Cricetulus griseus: one gene and its partner. The protein of the gene in region 1 purifies or fractionates together with the protein of each later gene. This does not show direct contact. Links are inferred from orthologs where the notes say so. Each region holds a gene or a part of one and is shown on either strand. Other genes may lie near its edges.

What was found.
Region 2: the proteins of Cstf3 (region 1) and Cstf2t purify together in Homo sapiens (co-immunoprecipitation; 4 studies listed by BioGRID and IntAct, counting the BioPlex papers as one, with this or other methods). This does not show direct contact. The link is inferred for Cricetulus griseus from reciprocal best matches to the Homo sapiens genes CSTF3 and CSTF2T.

The regions. Positions count from the first base shown.
Region 1 is NC_048599.1:73,080,899-73,085,219, reverse strand, and holds the start of Cstf3 (cleavage stimulation factor subunit 3), read left to right. Parts: upstream 1-1,514; 5' UTR 1,515-1,714; coding exon 1,715-1,741; intron 1,742-4,321. UniProt on the Homo sapiens protein: One of the multiple factors required for polyadenylation and 3'-end cleavage of mammalian pre-mRNAs.
Region 2 is NC_048596.1:30,364,180-30,368,255, reverse strand, and holds the start of Cstf2t (cleavage stimulation factor subunit 2 tau variant), read left to right. Parts: upstream 1-1,227; 5' UTR 1,228-1,331; coding exon 1,332-3,296; 3' UTR 3,297-4,076. UniProt on the Homo sapiens protein: May play a significant role in AAUAAA-independent mRNA polyadenylation in germ cells. Directly involved in the binding to pre-mRNAs.

The sequences.
Region 1 (4,321 bases):
CTCTTTGTTTCCAGCTCTCTAGAGGCAGGTGGATCTCTGTGAGTTTGAGGGCAGTCTGGTCTACAGAGTGAGTGACAGGACAGCCAGAGCTACATAGTGAGATCCTGTCTCAATACATTTCTTTTCATACCATCTTTTCTCAGTAAGTGTTGTTATAACTGTATGTATGTATAAACATATATATTCCTAAATACATAAATACAATCTGCCCACCCTGTATGCTTTGTATGTATATTTTCAGGGCTGACCATCTGGTATTGGATAATCAGTAGGTATTCTCAGCATTTCTTGGTTGCTTATAGCAGTTCTTTGTGTAGGGCTGAGGCCTTTGAGTTTTCCCCTATCCCCTTTGTTTTCTCTATTGTTGTTATACTTGCTCAGCTCATGTGTAGGCAGTCATGCTGGTGAGGTTTATGGATGTAGCTTTTGACAGTCTTAGGAGATGCAAACTCACAGCAAATTCTGTGTTCCTCTGACATTTAAAATTTTCTACCTTTCTCTTGCACAATGACTCCTTATCTTAGGTTCGAGGGTTATATTGTAGATATATCTGTTGGGATTGTACCCCACAACTGAATTTTGATTGTTTGTGGTTTTCGGTAATTGTCTGTTGCAAAGAGAAATTTCTTTTTCATTTCTTTTCTTTCTTTTTTCAATTTTATTTATTTAAATAAAATTTTGTTTCTTAAATTTTATTTATTTAAATAAATTTTATTTTTAATTTTATTTATTTGTTTTTCGAGACAGGATTTCTTTGTGTAACCCTGGCTGTCTTGGAATTAGCTCTGTAGATGAGGCTGGCCTCCAACTCAAAAGAGATCCGCTTGCCTCAACTTCCCACCCTGAGTGCTGGGATTAAGGGCGTGAGCCAACACCTGTGGGTATAAGGACAAACCATTAGAATGTAGTCAGCTGCTGTTGTTATTCCTATCTATAGACAAGGAAACTGTGACACAGAGAACGCAAATTGCCTACCTCTAGAGAGGTGAGCAGTCTGGATTCAAAGCAACATCCGTTGTGCGCTCTTACCGGTTTTGCAGACAACAAACCATGGTGACATGCTTAAGCTAAAATCCCAGTCTAATAAGGAATGGTGACAGCAAAAGTTAATACGGACTTGATATGTTCCTCTCATCCCCAAGAAAAGAAAGAGCATTAGCCAAGACCACAGAATGCTTATTCCCTAAACATGAGAGGCGTTTCACTGACCCCCAACGCTGCTTCCTAAAATGGTCAGTTTGCCTGACCTGAACTGATTGGCAGACAGGTTTCAACAGGGAGGGGCCCGGCTCTGCAACTCAGTAATTAAATTCCAAGAAGCGCGGGAGATGCCAGACCAATAGACGGGATCTTTCGGGTCGCCCTCGGAAATCTGGGCCGCGGCGTCATCAGTTCCGGGACGTGACGATAGCTCCTGCCTTGAGCCCGCCCCTGGTGATGACTCTGCGCTTGTGCACGCCTAAGAATCCGGGAGTTGAGTCCTAGCCCCGCCCATTGTCCCGGAAGTGAATACGGAAGCGCCTCACACCCCTCAGCCGGCTGGGGCGCAGCCATTTTAATTCATATCTGAGTGGGCGGTGGCGAATCGTGTGGCGGCTCTGGCTGTGCTGGGCAGGGGGTAGTGTTACTGGTTTTAGGGGGTTGTTTTTAGCTTAATTTTTCCTTTCTAGCTTCCCATTGCCGGCCAGTGAGTACGCTGTAATCCCCTGAGGCCATGTCAGGAGACGCAGCCGCGGAGCAGGTGAGGAGCGAGAGCGGTGGGGCCTCGTGGCGACCTCTTTCTCTCTCCGGCCCTGTGGGTGCGAACACTCCAGCGGTGCTGGCGTGAGGAGGGGCTCTGGAGGTCTGGTGAGCCCGGGGGGCCGGGGACGCCAGAGCACCCCCTGAGGGCTCCTAGCATTTTGGCTTTCTCCGTGGCGTTCATAAGGACCAGCATTTGACTCATACAACAGCTGGGAGGTTGCTTCGCCCCGTTTTCGCAATTCTTCGGTCCGGACGGTTTATTTGATACCATTTTGGTGTTCCGGTAGTTCGGATTTTTTTTTTTTTAACGTGTACCTGTCTTGGCAATATTTCCCTCTTCTGCTCCCTAGTTCCACCCACCCCCACCCCCAAGAAATAGAAACGAAACCAATCTAGAAGGTAAAAAGCAGCATTCCAGAAGCAGAGAACGGCTATGCCGAGCTTTGGGGAGAATTTTGTGGATTTTTCTCCCGCTTTTTTTTTTTTTCTTTCTCTCTGGTCTAGGAACACTTTGTTTTTACTTTTGCGGCTACGCAGACTTTGCAGGGTTTGATACATTGGAAACAGGAAATGTGCTTTAGTCACTGTAGGCGCCAGCTGTTTGAATGGTAGCTATGAGTGATATTTAAGTATTTTAAAAGTCAGAGTTTTAGAAATGAGATCTTCCCTCTTCCTTTTGGCTTTTTTTTTTTTTTTTTTTTTTTTTTTTTTTTAAGGTAGGGTTTTACTGTATTGCCCTGACAAGGCGCGACCTAGTGACGTCTGCTTCCTTGGCTTCGTGCTAGGATTAGCTGGGAATACTGACGAGCATCTCCACGCTGGGTTCTTTACTCTTTTTATAGCCTGAATTTTGTAGGATAACATTTGCCTTTTATTGTAAAAAACAAAAGAAACTGGTTTTATGAAAGATTTTTTTCGATCTTGATCCTAGTATTTTTTGGGGGGAGGGGTTTGAGGCAGGGTCTCTCTGTGAAACAGTCCTGGCAACTCATTCTGTTAGACCAAGTTGGCCTGGAACTCAGAGATCCGCCTGCCTCTGCCTCCCTAGTGCTGGAATTAAAGGCGTGCGCCGCCGCCACCACCACCTGGCCCCTAGTATTTTTCTTTTTTTTTTTTAAAAGAAAGGTAGTCCAGCGAAGTCCTAAATTTTCTGTTGGTGTAGCAACGAAATACGCTTGTATTTTCTTTTTTTCAAGTTCCCAGCTTATAACTGGAAACTACTGGAGGTTAATGGGTGACATAAATTTGTTAATGAAGTGTGGGTAGTCTATAAATTTAATTACTTTGGGAAAGAGCAAAATTCATGTTTTCTTGAGGACCGATTTCATCCTTGAAATATTGGCAATGCTTTTGCCCTTTATCTAACGTTGGGATGCTCACGAATTAAATGTCTTTGAATTATTTTATCAAAATTGTTTCTTTTACTCCATTCTTTTTCTGGGCTATTTTTGTTTTCTGAAAGTGAAGCAAATATTGGATGTGTCTGAAATTTATTGCTTTATATGAGATTGTAAAGACAAAACTATTGCCACAATTTTGTTTACAAAACTGTTTTTTGTTTTGTGTCATCCTGTTCCGCCCCAGTTGGAGATTGAACCCAGGGCCTTGTGCTTTCAGGGAAGCGTTCCACTGCTGAGTTATAGTCTCAACAAGAAATGTGATGTCTTAATAAAAATTTAAAAATCTTTATCTTCTGACCCCCCTTTTATTTTGACAATGTCGCTGTGTGGTCCTGACTGGCATGGAACTTACTGTGTAAATCAGGCTGGCTTTGAATTAATGGAGATAGCCTGCCTCTGCCTTGTTGAATACTAGGAATAAAGACAGTGCACACCACCACAGCTAGCTTTTTTTTTTTTTTTTTTTTAATTCAGGAAAATACTCTTACTCAGGCTTGCCTCCTTTGAATTTTATTGTGCAGTTTACAACAAAAAAAGTTGAAGAAGAAGTTCGTAAACACCTATTATAATTCTCATTGAACCCAACAATGGTTACAGGTTTTGTCATATATGTGTATGTGGTGATATATTTTATATATTGTTTTACACATGTGTGTTTACACATGTATTTTTTGTGTATGGTGGTTCTGTGGCTCAAATCAAGGGTGTTGCTCATGTTTGGCAAGCCCTCTGCTACATGTTTTCTTTTTCCATACACATTTCCCTGAAAGCTAACATATCACACTTCAGTCCAAACTATTTCAACATTCTCTTATATAATGACATTTGTGCTGTTATATAACTACCATACCATTATCCCACTCAAAATCTAGTTATACCATATTTCTGTTTTATTTTTTCTAGATAGGGCCTTATACAAGTTTGAGGACAGGCTAGCTTCAAATTCAGTTTGTAGCTGATGATGACCCTAAACTTCCACCTCTAGGTGGTACTAGGATCCTAAGTTCTCTCCAGTGCTCCTGGCTCCATAATGATGTACTTTTTGTTTTGTCTTGTTTTTCGAGACAGGGTTTCTCTGTAGCTTTGGAGCCTGTCCTGGAACTTGCTCTGTAGACCAGGCTGGCCTTAAACTCAGAGATTACCTGCCTCTGCCTCTCCAATGCTGGCATTAAAGGTGT
Region 2 (4,076 bases), on another chromosome or scaffold:
TGAACTACATACATAGTGAATTCCTAGCCAACCTGGTCTGAAGAGGAGCCCTGTGTTAAGACAGCAAAACTAATTTTAGTAACCTGATATCTTGATTTGTTGAATAAATTCACAACCAAATATAAAACATATGCTGCTGGGCAAGTGGTGGTGCACGCCTTTAATCCCAGCACTCGGGAGGCAGAGGCAGGCGGATCTCTGTGAGTGGAGGCCAGGCTGGTCTATGGAGAGTGTTCCAGGACAGCCAAGGCTACACAGAGAAACCTTGTCTAAAAACCCCCCAAAACAACAACAAGGACAACAAAACCAGTGGTGGAGCATGCCTTTAATCTCAGCACTCTCCAGAGGCAGAAGCAGGCAGCAGGTGGATCTCTGTGAGTTTACGGCCAGCCTGATCATGAACTTCAGGAGAGCACAGGACTATACAGACTCCACGTCATAGAGACCGTAACTCAAAATAAAATACAAAGAGAACAACTTAAAAATCAAAACTACCTAAATGTCCACAATAAAAGTTAAATTAATTCGATTAAATCTATACTCTCGGCCATACTTTTCAATTAATTCCAATTTAGCATAATATTAGTAAGTAGAGGAATGAGCACTTTGCCTGAGCACACAGAGAAAAACCTGAAAGGATCCTGCATCTTATAACAGTTTCAACAAGCCATAGCGTGGGGGCGGGGCTGAAGCTGACAGACGCTTTAGTTTGTCTCCCTGGGCATTAATTTTCTTTTATTGATATTTAAGGAGGTGTTTTAATATTAAGGTACAGGTATCAACATTTTACCTCATAATCTGGAACAAAATTTTAAATCTTTCAAACATTCTACACTAAACGGAAGCATCTGTGAAAACACATGGATCAGAAATTTAAACATTAAGCCTTAAATCAGCTTTCGTTTGGCGGTTTCCCGCTCGTGGAACGCAAAGAAAAACCGCCCCATCCCTCTGGGAAGGCCGACGCTACGGTTACCACAGTGAAGCCCGGTCGGCCATCTTTAATGTGGTCAGTTCTAATGCATCCGGTGACGGCAGGAAGAGGGGGCGGGACGCCGGAGAAATTTGACCAATAAGATCATGGAGAGGAAACACGCTGTCAGTAACCAGGCGCGGACAGAAGAGCGCGCGACCGGAGGCGGAAGGCGTTAGATAAATTAGTCCGGTCTTAGGAAGCGGTTTCTGCGGCCTAGCGGAACTATGGACTTATAGCGGAAAGGTTTCTCCCCGGAGTTTGACACCTGCTTCCGTTACACAGGGGAAGTGTGGTTGGCTCGCCAGAGGACGGCTCTTGGACGGATTTGCTCTCCGCTGTGTGCTCGACCGGAATCATGTCGAGTTTGGCGGTGAGAGACCCAGCCATGGATCGTTCACTGCGCTCAGTGTTCGTGGGGAACATCCCGTATGAGGCGACGGAGGAGCAGTTAAAGGACATTTTCTCGGAGGTTGGTTCGGTTGTCAGTTTCCGTCTCGTATACGATAGAGAGACAGGAAAGCCCAAGGGTTATGGCTTCTGCGAGTACCAAGACCAGGAGACGGCGCTTAGTGCCATGCGGAACCTCAATGGGCGCGAATTTAGTGGGAGAGCGCTTCGGGTGGACAATGCTGCCAGTGAAAAGAACAAGGAGGAGTTAAAGAGCTTGGGCCCGGCAGCGCCCATCATCGACTCCCCCTATGGGGACCCGATTGATCCAGAAGATGCTCCAGAGTCGATTACGAGAGCAGTCGCCAGCCTGCCCCCGGAGCAGATGTTTGAGCTGATGAAGCAAATGAAGTTGTGTGTCCAAAACAGCCACCAGGAAGCGCGGAACATGCTGCTTCAGAACCCACAACTGGCGTATGCCCTGCTGCAGGCCCAGGTGGTGATGAGGATCATGGATCCAGAGATTGCACTGAAAATTTTGCATCGCAAGATACATGTCACACCACTGATCCCAGGCAAATCTCAGCCTGGCCCTGGCCCTGGCCCAGGTGGTCCTGGCCCTGGCCCCGGCTCTGGCCCTGGCCCTGCCACTGCCCCTGGGCTCTGCCCGGGACCCAATGTTATGCTGAACCAACAGAATCCTCCAGCCCCACAGCCTCAACATCTGCCAAGAAGACCTGTGAAGGACATTCCTCCTCTGATGCAGACTTCTATACAAGGAGGAATTCCAGCTCCGGGACCAATACCAGCCGCAGTTCCCGGACCTGGACCTGGTTCCTTAACTCCAGCAGGAGCAATGCAGCCACAGGTTGGCATGCCAGTGCCCTTAGAGCGAGGACAAATGCAGATGTCAGATCCTAGACCTCCAATGCCTCGTGGACCCATGCCTTCTGGTGGCATTCCTCCTCGAGGACTACTGGGAGATGCTCCAAATGACCCACGCGGAGGGACTTTGCTCTCAGTTACCGGAGAAGTAGAACCCAGAGGTTATATGGGCCCACCCCACCAAGGTCCCCCTATGCACCATGGTCATGACAGCCGTGGCCCTTCCTCGCATGACATGAGAGGAGGACCATTAGCAGCAGATCCCAGAATGCTAATTGGAGAGCCCAGAGGTCCCATGATAGATCAAAGAGGTCTACCTATGGATGGTAGAGGAGGTAGAGAGTCTCGAGGAATGGAGACTCGACCCATGGAAACCGAGGTCTTGGAGCCACGAGGAATGGAGAGAAGAATGGAGACCTGCGCAATGGAGACCAGAGGGATGGAAGCAAGAGGACTAGAGATGAGGGGCCCTGGCCCTAGTTCCAGAGGCCCGATGACTGGTGGAATCCAGGGTCCTGGCCCCATTAATATGGGGGCAGGTGGCCCTCAGGGACCTAGACAGGTTCCAAACATTGCAGGAGTGGGAAATCCTGGAGGTGGTATGCAGGGGGCAGGCATACAAGGAGCAGGGATGCAGGGAGCAGGTATACAAGGAGGAGGAATGCAAGGAGCAAGCATGCAAGGGGCAGGCATGCAAGCAGGGATGCAGGGAGCAGGCATGCAAGCAGGGATGCAGGGAGCTGGCATGCAAGCAGGGATGCAGGGAGCTGGCATGCAAGCAGGGATGCAGGGAGCTGGCATGCAAGCGGGGATGCAGGGAGCAGGCATGCAAGCAGGGATACAAGGATCGAGTAAGCAAGGTGGAGGCCAGCCTAGCAGTTTTAGCCCTGGGCAAAGTCAGGTAACTCCACAAGATCAGGAAAAAGCAGCTTTGATCATGCAGGTTCTTCAGCTGACTGCAGATCAGATTGCCATGCTGCCTCCCGAGCAAAGGCAGAGTATCTTGATTTTAAAGGAACAGATCCAGAAATCCACTGGTGCTTCTTGAAAGGCTTTTGGTTAGGAAGTACTTAGTTATCCCTTCAGTGTTTATTGTGTGGCATGAAAAGTGGTGCAAAAAGCTGTCTTCTGTGTTCCCATACTTTAATGATTGAAGGTTGCCCTCTCCCTGGACCTTAGTCCTATTTCTAGTCTTTTTACTTTCTGTTTTCCTTTTTCTTTTTGATTGAGGATAGGGAGTGGAGGGAGTGGGCCTATTCACTTTGTCACTTAACTCCACTAGAAACCCTGGAAATGAGGACAGCATACCAAATAAGGTGGTATAGGAAGATACAGCAATAATAACATGTCTGCACTCTGTTAGCTGTATTTTATAAATATTGAGTAAACTGGGAACTACATTAAAATTGAAAGTGGCCTGTTACAATATTGATAGTTTAAAGATTTTTGGCTGTATATTGAACTGAATGTCAAACTGTGAAGATACACTTTTTTTGGAAAACCGAAACACTTAATTCTATTTTAAAGGCAATAGAGTACCGTATTAAGGTTAATATTTTAGTTATTTTTTGAAACATTAGAGCTAATAGTCTGTGGTAAAATTTGTAGCAATAGAGTTTTTTTTTTTTTTTTTTTTTTTTTTTTCCTTAGAGCTCTTATGGGAAAACTCAAGATGATGCCTCATTGATCTATCTGACCCTTCTGAAACTATTAGTATCCTTGCCTGGTCCCAACTGTGGTGGTTTTGCAGGACAGTTGTAGTGTGAACTGAGTTACATATAAGTCTCCTGATGAGACTCAAGTTATTGCTTAATGCATAGCTCAAAAA